Arabidopsis thaliana: one gene and its partners. The protein of the gene in region 1 interacts with the protein of each later gene in a pairwise test. Each region holds a gene or a part of one and is shown on either strand. Other genes may lie near its edges.

Region 1 (3,009 bases):
TTTCCAAATACAAGAAATTCATCAAACTTACACAAACAAAGTAACTAAAGCAATGCATTTAATATTGTTATTAAAGGTTCAGTAGCTGTAGTAGTATGTGCGAGATGAGTCACTTGATACAATTCAATTCATACTGAATAATGTTGGTGGTTGAAATAGAACAGTCTCTTCTGTTTGATGTTTCCGATCTTTTGTTTATTAGTACAAAAACAAAAAAAAAAATACTTCGTTTGCTATGTATATCAAAATCCTTAAATAATTTATTTTCTTACGCATAGATTATGGATGGATCATATTTTTCTGATAGGAGGAAAGTTCACAATTTTGAATTTTCACAACTGTTAGCTGAATGCAAAATACAGGTGAAATGTTCGCCGGTAAACTTTTTATCTGAAACTAGTTAAAACTAACAGACTCGGTAAGCATAAAAGTGATTAGCATATCATTGACAACCAATAATGGATGATGGCGCAAAGACATCCAAGTTAATCATAATCTATGTTCACATTATTATAGAGATTACTATTATTATTTTGGACAAATCTATGTTCATATTATTATTTATGCAAAAAGAGGGTGGATTAGGTTTAACTGTTGTGGAGCCCTAAAAATTAATTAAGAATCCAAAAAATCAAGTTGCTTCAAATCATTTCCCACCAGGAGAGGCCTACCAGGAATACAACTTGATTGAGCTGTCTTTCCTCTTTTAAAATTTATCCATTAGGAAGCTTTTCATATAATTTTTTTTTTTTTTTTGGGTATGAAAATAGAAAAGTCTTTTGAGATTAGTATCCAAAAAAAACAACGATTATTTAATCGGACGTTGTTTGATCAGAAATGGTTTACGAGAAAGTCGGCATATTATTCGATTTTTCATTATTTTCTCGATACATTTTTTTCATTCGAGTCTAATTCACGTATGTTAAAAAGTTATTTGATGTACAAATAATCCAGATTATTCGACCTAGTCGTATCAGAGTTTCGAGATAAAGTTGTAAAGTTGGTTAGAAATCCTTATGATATCAATAGATCAAATAACCCTAGTTAAAGCATCAAAAAATCAAATCCACCTACGTAAATGCTTAGAGTTACACTCAAATTTTGATTTTTTAATGACATCTCTTCATATGCAGAGATTGTTTTTATGTGGAAACACATAGACTAAATGGCTTATCTTTAAATAGAAAGTAAAAGAGTGGAAGTGAAAGAAAGAAAGAAAAAAAAAAACCAATTTATTTGTCATTTATTATTCTACAGAATGGCAGAATGACTATGTAAAAATTTGATTCTGTGAAATTTCGTCATTATGCATAATACCAATAATTATAAATAGCGAATAAAAACAAAAACAATAATGGGATGTTTAGCAAAAAAGAAATAAAAAAGCAGTGCCGTTGAGAATCAAATGGTTTTTAGTAGTCAGCATCAAAGGTAAAAGACAAGTTGAGCATAAATCATATGAGAAGATTCATCGTTAGAACCAAAATGTAAAAAAGAAAGAAAAAAGCTTAGCTTTTGATTACAGTTTTGTGCAGTGTGAAGTGTCACATCACACAACAACTTGGGTGAAGGAAGGTCCTTTCAAAAAGTTGGACGTTGTCTTCATAAATTTGTATTAATTGATCACAGACTCATGACCCCATCTCTAAAACCACTAAGAGAGCGACAAAACCATAGCTTTTTTTTTGTGTCCCTACCCCATCCATGGCTGCTAAAATCTTGTGATTACCTTCTTGTCTCCTTCCTCTTCTCTTTCCCTCTTTTATATAAGAACCAAAACATCCACAGCTTTTGTTCCATCATCACTTGCAGATTCTTTCTCTCTTTCGTAAAAATGGCGAGTTTTGAGGAAAGCTCTGATTTGGAAGCTATACAGAGCCATCTCTTAGAAGACTTGTTGGTTTGTGATGGTTTCATGGGAGATTTTGACTTCGATGCTTCTTTTGTCTCAGGACTTTGGTGTATAGAACCACACGTTCCTAAACAAGAACCTGATTCTCCAGTTCTTGATCCGGATTCTTTCGTCAACGAGTTCTTGCAAGTGGAAGGGGAATCATCATCATCATCATCACCAGAGCTGAATTCATCGTCATCAACATATGAGACTGATCAGAGTGTGAAAAAGGCAGAGAGGTTCGAAGAAGAAGTAGATGCTAGACATTACCGAGGAGTGAGGCGAAGGCCGTGGGGGAAATTTGCAGCAGAGATTCGAGATCCAGCAAAGAAAGGATCAAGAATCTGGCTAGGAACATTTGAGAGTGATGTTGATGCTGCAAGAGCCTATGACTGTGCAGCTTTCAAGCTCCGGGGAAGAAAAGCCGTGCTCAACTTCCCTCTTGACGCCGGGAAATATGAAGCTCCAGCGAATTCAGGAAGGAAAAGGAAGAGAAGTGATGTGCATGAAGAGCTTCAAAGAACTCAGAGCAATTCATCTTCATCTTCCTGTGATGCATTTTAGCATATTAAGAGTGTGAGCAGTTTCCTTAAGTTGTATAAAGTAATTGTACAGAGGAAACGAATTGTGTAGGTTTAGTGTGCTTGCAAGTTGCAACAAATGTGTATGGATGTTCTGTTTCTTCATGTCCCTAAGATTTAGAAACATCTTCTTATTTCCAAGAAAGTTATTCAGTTTCCAGGTCTCTAAACAACCTAACTAGTTATTAGATGTTGTAATCCATTAGTCAATGGTTTATGAAACAATCAAGTTCTCAATCTCACACATAGAAACTTCACTAAAACAGCTACAAAAAGTGAGTGTACCAAGAGGAGAAGGGGAAGTGAATCAAGATGAGCAAGTTACATGAATGTAGCAGGCTAGCAGCAATGTTTGTCTTCATAGGTTAGGTACAAGTCAACACTCAGTGATAAAGGAACTGGACCACAAGCTACAGAGACTTGAAAGAGAGATGCACAACTTGCAAATGCAGAATAAACAAGTCAACACTCAGTGATAAAGGAACTGGACCACAAGCTACAGAGACTTGAAAGAGAGATGCACAACTTGCAAAT
Region 2 (6,850 bases), about 12 Mb from region 1:
AAACCTAGCCACATATGCATTGATAAATCATAAATCAGTCATAAAACATACAGTAACCAAGCCACAACACAAAACAAACTCAACCACATATGCATTAATAAATCATAAATCAGTCCTAAAGCATACAATAACTCAGCCATCAAATCGAATAGAAATAACAAATCAGCCACCATATGTAAATCGACGGCAAAAATCAGCCGTAATAAGCGTCGATAAAAACCATCAATATCATAACAGTGGTTTTAGAAAATGGTTTTAATCATGGGAATCACTTGCTATTGAACTTAGATGTCTGATTATTGTCGGAAAAATCGAAATAAAGATTTGACACATATCGAAACAAGTTGAGTTGAGACGAAATGTGACTCGATGACAACGACGTTAAAAGTTTCGGGCGGAAGAGACGAGAGAAAGAGAGAATAGCCACGAGAAATAGGTTTTCTTCGTTTTCGGATAAACACCTAGTAAAAGAGAAGACATTTTTTTTTCCCAAGATGAACAATGTCTGGGAGGAAAACCAAAATGTTCCTCTTAGTGACGTTAATAATGTGGCTTTATTTTTTTTTCTCTCTTAATAACGTGATTCATCATTATTTCGTTAATTATTTTTAATTAAAAAAGAATAAAAATGTTTTAACTAAAAAATACTAATCAAAAATGTTAATTGTAATTATATAAAAGCACTATATATATGAATAATTTTCAGAAAATGTAAATATTTCTATATTTAGATTGAGGAATAAACTTAAAAGCATCGCATGCTCATGTGTTGGTTTGTGATGAGTTTGGACTAAAGTTCACGATGAACCGTGGTTTTGAGGATCGTGATAGCTGCAATATGAGAAAAAGTAGGGTTAAGTTTTGTGATGACAGAATATGGCGAATTCTAGGTTTGAGGATTGTAATGATAAGAATATGCTTAACCAGATTTCCAAAAATTATTTACTTATAATGACAATAGTATGTTGGGAAAAAAAAATATGTTAAACTATGCTTTAAAAGTTTTTACTACTGGTATGAAAGTCGAGATTTGGTGCTACGAGTTTGATCTCTCTGACAAATTTTTTGCGTATACATATTATTTTATTTCTCATTTTTAAAATGGATCGATCTACAAATATTTGTGTTTAGCCAATAGTTTACCATATACAAAAAATTTACTAATGTTCGCGGAAGGAAATAAACTTAGCAAATATATTGTTGAATTCTTAATGATATATAACACTATTTTAAATATAAAAAATCGTCAAAATATAAATCTAGTGATTTATAATAATATAGCTGTTATATTGCCATTATAATTCAAAATCTGCATATCAAAAGAAAGAAATTTTGAAATATGTCACCATACTGAACCAATACTTTTCCTAAAAAATATAAAATTGAAGCTATTTCACAAACAAATCTGCATCTATTAAGAATAAACAAAAACAAATAATAACAAATCTTGACAAAAGAAAATAAAAATAGGAAAAAAACATACCTTCACAACCTGGGTCCCCCACCTCGGAGAAGTATGTCTTTATCTACACTTTTTGTCCTTTGTTTCCTCTCTCCCCCACCATTCTTTCTCCTCTCTCCGCTTCTTCTTCTTCCCCTGTTCCTCTTATAACCCCTCTCGTCTCATGTCTACCTCCTCCTCTTCTTCCGACAACGGAGCCGGTGGAAGCGGCGGCGTTTTCGAGGCCCCATCTCCATCCCGCCCTCGCCGCGGAGCCAACGATGTTTGGCCGGAGCCTTTTCTTGAATCTCTCGCCGTTCAAGTTGCCGTTAACGCTTCCACATCCGCCGGCCTCCTCGCCGCAGCTCCGGCTCTTGCCAACGTTTTTCGGGTCAGTTCTAACGTTCTTTGAATACCTTCTTTTAGTTTTGTAACGGTCGAGACACATCAATTATCTCGTGTCTCTCTATATATATATGTACTTCAGGTAGTAAAGTAATATTTTCGTTACACTATCTGAATTCGTTTATTAGCTTATATTTGAACTTGAAAATAGTGAGACATAGATCTTATGCAGACAAAACAAAGTCAAAGTAGTCGTGGGTCTATAATAACTTAAGTGGAGGGACACAATCTTGGTCTAGTCAAATGTACTGCTTGTTTCAAGTGTCTTGTACTTTAGTTGTTTCTAAGCTTAGATTTGATTCTGCCGTTCTAATTCTTTTTGGTATAACGAATTCTTACTCTTTAGATCATAATTAAGTGATGATGTTACTTCAATTCGATTGAATGTGATATTAGTTTGTAAGGTTGGGATTCTGAAGAGACAAAAAAAAAAAAAAACTGACCTTTGGAAAGGTAACCGCCCTTTCTGTGTTTCTATGATGGGTCCAAGTCCAACTTTTATGTCTAACAAGACGACATTAATTTGATGTCTCTTTCACATATCATATAGTTTGGGGACTTTGTTTTTCTTTTATGTATTTAGAAACTTTTTGTCTTCCATTTTTACCCAATAAGTTTATTTCTTTTTCATTGTTCTCTCGTCTACTTTTGATACCTTTTAATGTCTATTTTTGGATCCTCTAAGGAGACCATACAACCCCATCTCGTTTGTGTAATCTTTGTACAACATTTGGGCATAGTAACTCTAATATTAATATTATATTATGAATTGGATCCCTTAGGGCACAAAATCAAGGTTTTATTTTATTTTATTGGCTTTAAATCTTCCTTTCTTGGCATGTAGAAAGCCCTTTTTTAAGATCAAGAAATCCACTTTTTGACTCAAAAGTTCTTACAATAATAATCAAATTAAACACTTTCTTGTCTCCAAATATTGGTTGATAGACATTAGGCACAGTCTTTAGTCCAATGCCCAATAGATTTAATATTTTTTAGAATTATAATTATAACGGTATTTATCTGCTAATTGTTTTAAAATTATAATAATAGAAAGTGACCTCTCACGACAGACTCATAAAACTAGAAAATGTCGTTGCACATTTAACAACATCTAAAAAGAGAATGAAAAGAAACCTAAGTAAGGTCCTGTCTTTTTGCCTTGCCAATGTTAGTCCTATATTACCACATTAGGTTATTTTCTACATACATGAAAACTCTATTCATCAACAGATATATGATCCATGTATTATATCAGGCATTCATATTATTCTTTTTAATAATCCTATGTTATATATGAAAATAGCTGTTTTTTCTTTTGTTCATAAAAAAACAAATAATACATATATATATTATGCTGAAGATTTTTCTCATATATAGTAACGAGGAATAGTATATAAGTACATATGTACATTTTTTGCGTCCTGCTTTTGTTATTTTTTTCTCTGCCAATATTATGATCCACTGAGTAATGCATGCAGAGCTTCTGACAACTTCTCATTCTCTTATTTTATCTCACTTCTCTATGTATACATGATAATTCTAAATCATTATTAAATCCCATAATATTTTCTAATTAATTGAATTTTCAAATTTGCCCTAAAATTTTAAGAAACTGCAGTGTAGTTACAGCATAACACTTTTGTCAGAGAATTAAGGCTATAAGTCTAGAGTTTTCATTGTTGTTTTTTACTTTGAAATTGATCATGGAATTATCTTTTTTCCTGACTCGATTCATCTTTTCCATTGAAGTGGGTTTTTATCTTTTTTTTTTCTTTCCTTAATTTTTTTCAGTCAAAAGAGACGACATTATGGGCATACATATGCCGAAAAGCACATGGAACCCAATGTTAAGGGTCTCTTAGAGCACGTGCAGTGGTGTCTATAGATTATATACTATGTTCTTACATTTGATATATCACACATTAAAATACAAAAGTGATATTCTGAATCTGGTCATCTTAGAACTCAGGAATATTTGAACTACTTTCTTTCCCTTCTTATTTGAAGTATATCATATTGATGTGATTGGTAATTTGCATAATAATAAATAGGATTTGCCATTCCATCATATGTTATTTGTTGTACTAATCTATTTTATGTTACATTTCGTGCCCTAGTGCCTAGATTATTCTTTTTTTATAATGATTATCTGACTAATAGACATTAAACCTTTGGTTTGACAAGATATCTTTTCTTTTCGTATAGAATTCGAAATATTTGATTTTAGGTTGTACTATAGAGCTAGAGTACGAAGTCAAATACATTACTTTGCGTTTAATGAGGAATAAAGATGTACAATAAATAACAATATAAACGTAAATGTAGAGAATGTAGGTCCACGGATTGTTGGAGAGGGATGAGAGAGACAGAGAAACATCTACTATATATAAGTGTAATATTTGTGTATTTATGGGAAGCTCTACTTTTAACAAGACCAAAGGCTTAAAAGCTATCCTTTCTTGGAAATGAAAGAGAGAAGGGCACGCTTGTTGGCAAAGTCGGAATCTCATGTTCAGCTTAACTCATTTAAAGTCTTCTCATCTGTCCTAATAAATTAACATATCATCTGTTTTGTATTATTGTCACATTGATTTGTTTTTTGTTCTTTTGACATGGGACTAGGGCTTCCTCTCATTATTCCTTTTACACTAGGGCTTCTGTTGTTATATCTCTATCTATAGCTTCCAGAGATTGATTAGTCCCGTCAATTGAACATATGTCATAAAATAGATTTTTATAAAAATGAGTTGTGTGTTTCGATGAGTAAGACAAATATTACGCAGAGCTTGTGTCTGAGTCTGTCGTTGTCTTTCCATCTTCCTAGTCCCTATATATAGAGTCTTTCATGCTTCGTTGCAGGCCTACTTATCTTCTTTCTATGTCTTTTTTTACTCTCTCCCTTATTTATACATTTATTAATTAAGCTACTAATTATAATATTTGTTAAAACTTATAATAATTTTTCTTAATCGCAGGTTTGCACCACGTGGCACGCTGTCTCTCGCTCCGACCATCTATGGCAACTACTATCTCGCCAAGTTTGGGCAAGAACACATTTGATGCACGACACGTGGCGGGACGAGTTCATCTACCGTCATCGGACGGCTAGAAACTTCCGGACGCGTACTCACACCTACTTCACTCTCCAATTTGACCCGTCTGATGTGGACGAGCCTGATAGTCTCTCTTGCCGTTGTCTCACCCTCTCAGACCTCTACTTAGCCGCAGGGTTCGCCGACGGAACCGTCCGGCTTTTTCTTTTAAACAACCGACTCCACGTCAGGACCTTACGGCCACCTCTACGTGACCGCTTTGGTAGATTCTCACGAGCCGTCTCAGGCATTGTTATCTCCGACTCAAGGCTCACGTTCGCTACGATGGACGGAGACATCCACGTGGCGGAAATAGACGGTGTTGGTCACACACGCACGGCTTACGCAGGAGATATAGTTAACGACGGTGCGTTGGTAGATTTCACTGGCTGTGGACGTTGGTGGGTCGGTCTTTTCGCGGGTGTGCCAGGTCGTGCCTTTCACATATGGGACTGTAACAGCGAAGAGACAACATTCGTCGGTGGTACACTCACCGACCCTGAAGCTGTCATGGGATGGCACACGTTAACAGAGCTAACAACGTCCCTTGGCCGTCTCAGAATCTCCGGTAACGAGACGGCGGTAGCATGCACGAGATGGAGAATCATGGTGATCGATCTAAGAAACCAAGGAGTGATCATCGGAGAAGACGAAGAGCAACGTAGAGGACTAATAGTGACAGGCTTCGATGCCAACGACGAAGCGTACGTTAGATTGGACAGTAGAGGAAACGCTAGCGTGCGAAGGGTGAACACGCAACAAACGGTGTGTGAGTTCCGTGTTAGTGGAGCGGCGCAGAGAAGAGTAATGGGTTGTGTTAATAGACTGCACGCGCTAATGTGCGCAGGTGGTATAATGCGCGTGTGGGAGGTAGAGAGAGGAGAGTATCTGTACAGTATTAGGGAGAGAGTAGGAGAAGTTGACGCCATTGTTGCCGATGATAGACATGTGGCGGTTGCGTCAGCTTCATCAACGGCTCAGAGTATTATACATCTATGGGATTTCGGTGCACTGTAGCGTACCAGATTAATAATTTTTTTTTTTTAACTTGAAGAAAAAGAAACTATTTTTCTCTGAAAAAGCGAAACCCTAAACCTAGGTGTATATGTAGGGTTTCTGATTATAAATTAAATTGGGAAAGTGACGGAGGGAAGATGGTGACAGGAGGGTGAGATTTACAAGGGAGATTGATTCTTTCTACAGAGTTTGACCAAAAAAGTAAGTTACTGTTTTTGTCTAAAACCAAACAAAGTGGACTTTTTCTTGTTGTTCTTGTTTTTTTCCTTGTGTTTAGGGCTCTCTCAATTCTGACTTTGTACGAGATGTCTTTTTTTTTTCTTCTACTTGTAATTCTTCACTTTACTGGAGTTTATTATTTTGTATAATGGGTTTTAAATACATTTTGTGTAAAAAATATATTTTACAGGAGGTGTAGACAGAAACAAGATCAAAATCGAAAGAATGGTATAGAAATATGAATCATGAGATCTAGATGTGATTTGAGCATATCCCAATTTTAGGATATATTGGAGTGAATTGATAAGTAAAATGTTCAACAAGTTATTCATAAACAATAACATAAGAAAAGAGCATAATTGGACACACCCAATATACAAACAAAACGGCTAATCTCATTGAACAAACAAGATGATAAAGAGTGAAAATCAAAATTTTCCAAGTTTGAAATAGCGTTAGAAGCAAGTTCGAGAAGACCAAACACACGCCAATTCAAGAAAAAGTTGCACTCTACATAAAATTTGAGATGGTAACCATATATTGTGACTTTAAATCATAGTTCAAAACTTGGATTCTCACAAGAATGAGTCACGTTGTACCTACCGGTCCCTAAAAAACCATCACATAAGAACACAAACAGTTAGGATCTAAAACATGTTATTTAGAAACGAATTCG
Region 3 (4,460 bases), on another chromosome or scaffold:
TCATGAATCTGGGTTACGTCAATTAGTTTTGCATCTGATTTTCTCGTTGATTGTAATATATTTATTGAGACCGATTTTTGTATACAAGCAAGGAAGATTTAACAATAGCTATCCATGATTTTTTTTTTCTTGGGGGTCAGATATACCATTTGAATGTAGTTCACTATTGACTTTTGACTTAAAATTTTGTCGATTTTGGTCTTATCAAATACCAAATGACGCTATATACTAATTAACATCAAATTGCGCCGCTAAATCACGCGGTTCCATGTGATCAAAGTCCCTGGAGTGGATTTGCTTGTTTGGTCTCACTCTCACGCCAATTAAAAGGTGTCTGTTTAACCTTTTCTCCTTTAGTTTATAGACTATGATATGGTCAGGAATTACTTAACTATACCACGGATTTATAAGAGGTATCTCAATAAAAGATCTAATGAATTTTGAATCAGATACAAATATATGATTTTTATAATTATAAAACCTTTAAACTATCTCATGGAGTAGTTTGGTTGGAAAACGAAATGGATCCTATCCATCCGTTAGTTGATAATTATTACTCGTGACCTAAAACTTAGACTATATAGGGTTTGCTGTCAAGCAAGTATTCATTAAAAATTGCACATTTATATAATTACTTTGTTTAACCGCATATTCACAGCACTTGTTAAAGTTTCAATTATGAAACTCAGCTATAGTCTTATACTGTTATTATGTTCACATTAATCTCATGAACGGCAATATAGAGACTGTTGGATAAGGTTTGAAATAACTTAATTCTCATACAACAGCACAATATATAATTGTTTACGATCCAATTTAGTGATTTGCAAAATAATGAAAGAAAACATGTGAAAGTAATAGTAACTGATAACTTTCCAAAATGATCTAATTATTTCAAATCTTTGTAAGATTTTATTTCAGCCAAATAGTATTTTTGTGGTGTCTTATCTTTGATTAAGCCAAATGAAGCAATTGCCGACAAAAATAAAAGATGCTAAAGACGTAATTAAATATTAAAATATTACCGCACGAGGGACCTTTTGAAAAATCAACATTCCATCACATAGGTAAAATTATGTCAAATGACCGTCTAGCTAATCACACCATCTGATTAAGCGGCAACATTTTTTAAGTAGTTCTAAATCTAACCAGTGTTTTGATTTCGGAGTGATCCGGCCGGTCGGACCTTTAAACATGCGACTTGAATACGACTAAACTATAGTTCGTTTGGTAAGCGATTTTTCTTTCACCCACTAGAACTAAACATGCAAAAACTTCGGCAAAAACTAGTGATCCGGTAAAATCCACACAAGGGCGGTCTTTAACACGCCAAATCACAATTTTTTTTTTATCCTGGTAACCTCTGATTCTTTTTTTTTTTTTCTTTCTAATTTTGATGACGTGATTGATATATTTATTTGATAAATTTGACTCTCTAAAATAATTTAATTTCTGCTAAGACATACAAGAACTAATAAAATCACACACATATATATATATATATATATAGAACGTATTATATGATAAATTTTGATTTTCTTGGAGAATTCTCATGCTGATTTTTTTTAATAACTTTAGGAATAATTAATTAGTTTCAAATCACTCTAGAAGACATTTACTTAATCATAGCCTCTGATGATAATAGTTCCGAAACAAGAAAACAAAACATACAATATATATTATTTATTTTATTTTTAATTTTATAATAGATATCAAAATTGGTGATATTTATTGTGATGGGGATTCATTGAAACTGGAAGACAACTGTAGAGAAAGTGCCCCATAGAAGAAGATCTTCATAGTACTCTCCATCTCTTTACTCTCCTTCTCTTTCTCTCTCTCTATCTCTCTATTTCTCTCTCTCTCTCTCTCTCACCCACAGAGAAAACCAGCAGTAGTAGCAGTAAATTGCTTGAGTTCTTGATGACAGATCGACAATGTCTTAAATGATGAAGAGAAAAGAAGGAAAGCAATAAACCTTGGCGGCGTTTGCAGCAGTTTCTTAAATTTCCTCACCATCATTACTCTCTCATCTGCTCCCAAATCTGCTCCTTTTAAATACCAAACACATCTCCAAGCCTAGCTAGAAATTAATGTGATAGAGAGCAAAAGAAAAAGGTGAACACAAATCCCCAAAAATAATTCATCCACAAACCCCAAAAAAGTCTCATAAATCCTCTTTCTTTCTTTTTGTTTGTGTTTTGTGTTGGGGAAGTAGAAAAAAATGGCTGGATTGTTCTATCTAGGAGGGAGAGATCACAACAAACAAGATCATCATCAAGAAAAGGATCATAATGAAGACAAGAGCAACAATTATCTCTATCTATACAAAGACGAGATCTACAACAACAACAAGGGTTTTGAGATTTTCCCTCCTCAATATTTTCAACAACAACAGCAACAAAATCATGCGGCTGCTCCAACAAATCTCTACTCTTTTGGTATGGTCCCGAGTGGTGGTAACATAAACAATAACCGGAGTACTAATCGGAGTTTGTACTTCAACGTCGTCTCCGATCATGAGCCGGTGAGATCCTCAACGGGAGGGTTTACGGTAACGAGACAAGGGAACATGAATTGCCAAGACTGTGGGAATCAAGCCAAGAAAGATTGTCCTCATATGAGATGTCGTACTTGTTGTAAGAGCCGAGGGTTTGATTGCCAAACACACGTGAAGAGCACGTGGGTCTCGGCTGCTAAACGCCGTGAGAGACAGGCTCAGTTAGCTGTTTTGCCAGCTAAGCGTATAAGAGACGCTAACTCAAGGGGTGGTGGGGATGACGATGATGATGACAAAGAGGACGAGAAAAATGACAGTTGTGGTGGTGGCTCGGCTCTTGCTTGCACCCGTGTGGTTAATGCTAGTTCTTCAGGTATGACGATGAGTTTTCAATTAATTAACATAGAGAAAAAATTTCAACAAATCTAGAAAGGATTTAAAAACAAATTTATGTGAAGATCTGGTTATGAATGTTTTGTCAAGAAAGCAACAATATGATTTGATTGTGAATATATGTCCACCGGATTTTGCTCCTTTCTTTTTGCTGTTTGATTTTGATTGTGAATAAATGTCCAACAAAATGATTTTAGTCACTGTTCTATGGTAAACCTGACGACACAAAGGGTTTAGTCGATTTTTATTCAATATATGATGTAAAAAATAAACAATGGTTAATTATGTCATGTGTTTTAAAGATTTTGATTATTGGATTCACGAACCAAAACGTTTTTGAATTTTATAGTAATTCTTTGGTTTTATGAAATTAGGGTTAGAGACTAGTCACTTACCACCGGAGATAAGTTCCCCGGCTGTTTTCCGGTGTATGAGAGTCAGCTCAATCGACGATGAAGACGAAGAGTATGCTTATCAAACGGCTGTTAGCATTGGAGGACACGTGTTCAAAGGCATTCTCTACGACCAAGGTCCATCGTCAGATCACCACCGTTACAGCTCAAGCCTCAATGGCGAAACCTCTCATCAACACCATCTTAACCTCATGGACTCAACTCCTTCAGCCGCAACTACAAACGCCGTGACCGCCGTTAACACTAACAACGGATCTATTGACCCTTCTTCCCTTTACACTGCGGTGGCAACTCCGTTCAACGCCTTTGTCGCCGGTGGTACGCCTTTCTTTGCATCTTCTAGGTGTTGAGATTAAAACATCTGAAGATGTTAAATCTTTTAAATTACGTTTGTGATTAATTATAACTACTCTTATAACTACCAGAGATCTATCTACGAGTACGAGAGATAATTTATTTGAGTATTTTTATTGTTGTCGGACAATATGGTGACTGTTCGTACCTAGCTAGGGTTTGTGTACTGATTAACATGCACATCGTACGTTTTAGAGATAAATGAGATATTATCATTAAGTTTTTTTTGGGGATAAACGAGATATTAAATTAATGTCAGAGTTTCAAATTTTGATCTTCTGTTTGTTTACTTTAATGTTTGATCTTCCCAATGTGATCAACATAACTTCTTTTTTTTTTTTTTTCTTTCGAATATGTCTGAATTATTTTCAAAAAGTTTGGTCTTCTATATAAAATAGGGTTTAAAAAATATATTCTAATTTTCTTCTGTATACAAATAGGGTTGGGTTTGATAGTGAATTAGCTTTCTGGCTGGTGATGAACTCGAAGCTACTTTTTCCCAGTTTATCCGTTTGCTTGCCGGATCTAAACAGGAACTTTACTAGGTTTCGTGTTCCATTGAGCAAACAATTTCAAATCTATTTATATATAAGAGAAAAACTTTCTGTTACCCAATCCAATTTCCGCAGTAAAACAGTGGAAACCATCATCATAGTTTACGAATAATTTGTTATGTTTACATTTATGTAATATTAAAAAAAATATTTGTTACCGATATTTTTCTTAACAAGAGAGTAGGTTACTCCCAAATTTCATCACAAAAAGACCTTCAACGCTTGTATCAATTTATGTAAATCCAA

The links.
Region 2: the proteins of AT5G07580 (region 1) and SAP interact in a two-hybrid assay, tested with the Arabidopsis thaliana proteins (one large-scale study listed by BioGRID).
Region 3: the proteins of AT5G07580 (region 1) and SRS7 interact in a two-hybrid assay, tested with the Arabidopsis thaliana proteins (one large-scale study listed by BioGRID).

Annotation. Positions count from the first base shown.
Region 1 is NC_003076.8:2,397,892-2,400,900, forward strand, and holds AT5G07580 (ethylene-responsive transcription factor), read left to right. Parts: upstream 1-1,834; coding exon 1,835-2,458; downstream 2,459-3,009.
Region 2 is NC_003076.8:13,935,562-13,942,411, reverse strand, and holds SAP (Transducin/WD40 repeat-like superfamily protein), read left to right. Parts: upstream 1-1,544; 5' UTR 1,545-1,625; coding exon 1,626-1,832; intron 1,833-4,821; coding exon 4,822-5,955; 3' UTR 5,956-6,326; downstream 6,327-6,850. UniProt on the Arabidopsis thaliana protein: Transcriptional regulator involved in the specification of floral identity. Acts as A class cadastral protein by repressing the C class floral homeotic gene AGAMOUS in the external flower organs in association with APETALA2 and other repressors.
Region 3 is NC_003070.9:6,837,596-6,842,055, reverse strand, and holds SRS7 (SHI-related sequence 7), read left to right. Parts: upstream 1-1,742; 5' UTR 1,743-2,224; coding exon 2,225-2,873; intron 2,874-3,267; coding exon 3,268-3,656; 3' UTR 3,657-3,936; downstream 3,937-4,460. UniProt on the Arabidopsis thaliana protein: Transcription activator that binds DNA on 5'-ACTCTAC-3' and promotes auxin homeostasis-regulating gene expression (e.g. YUC genes), as well as genes affecting stamen development, cell expansion and timing of flowering.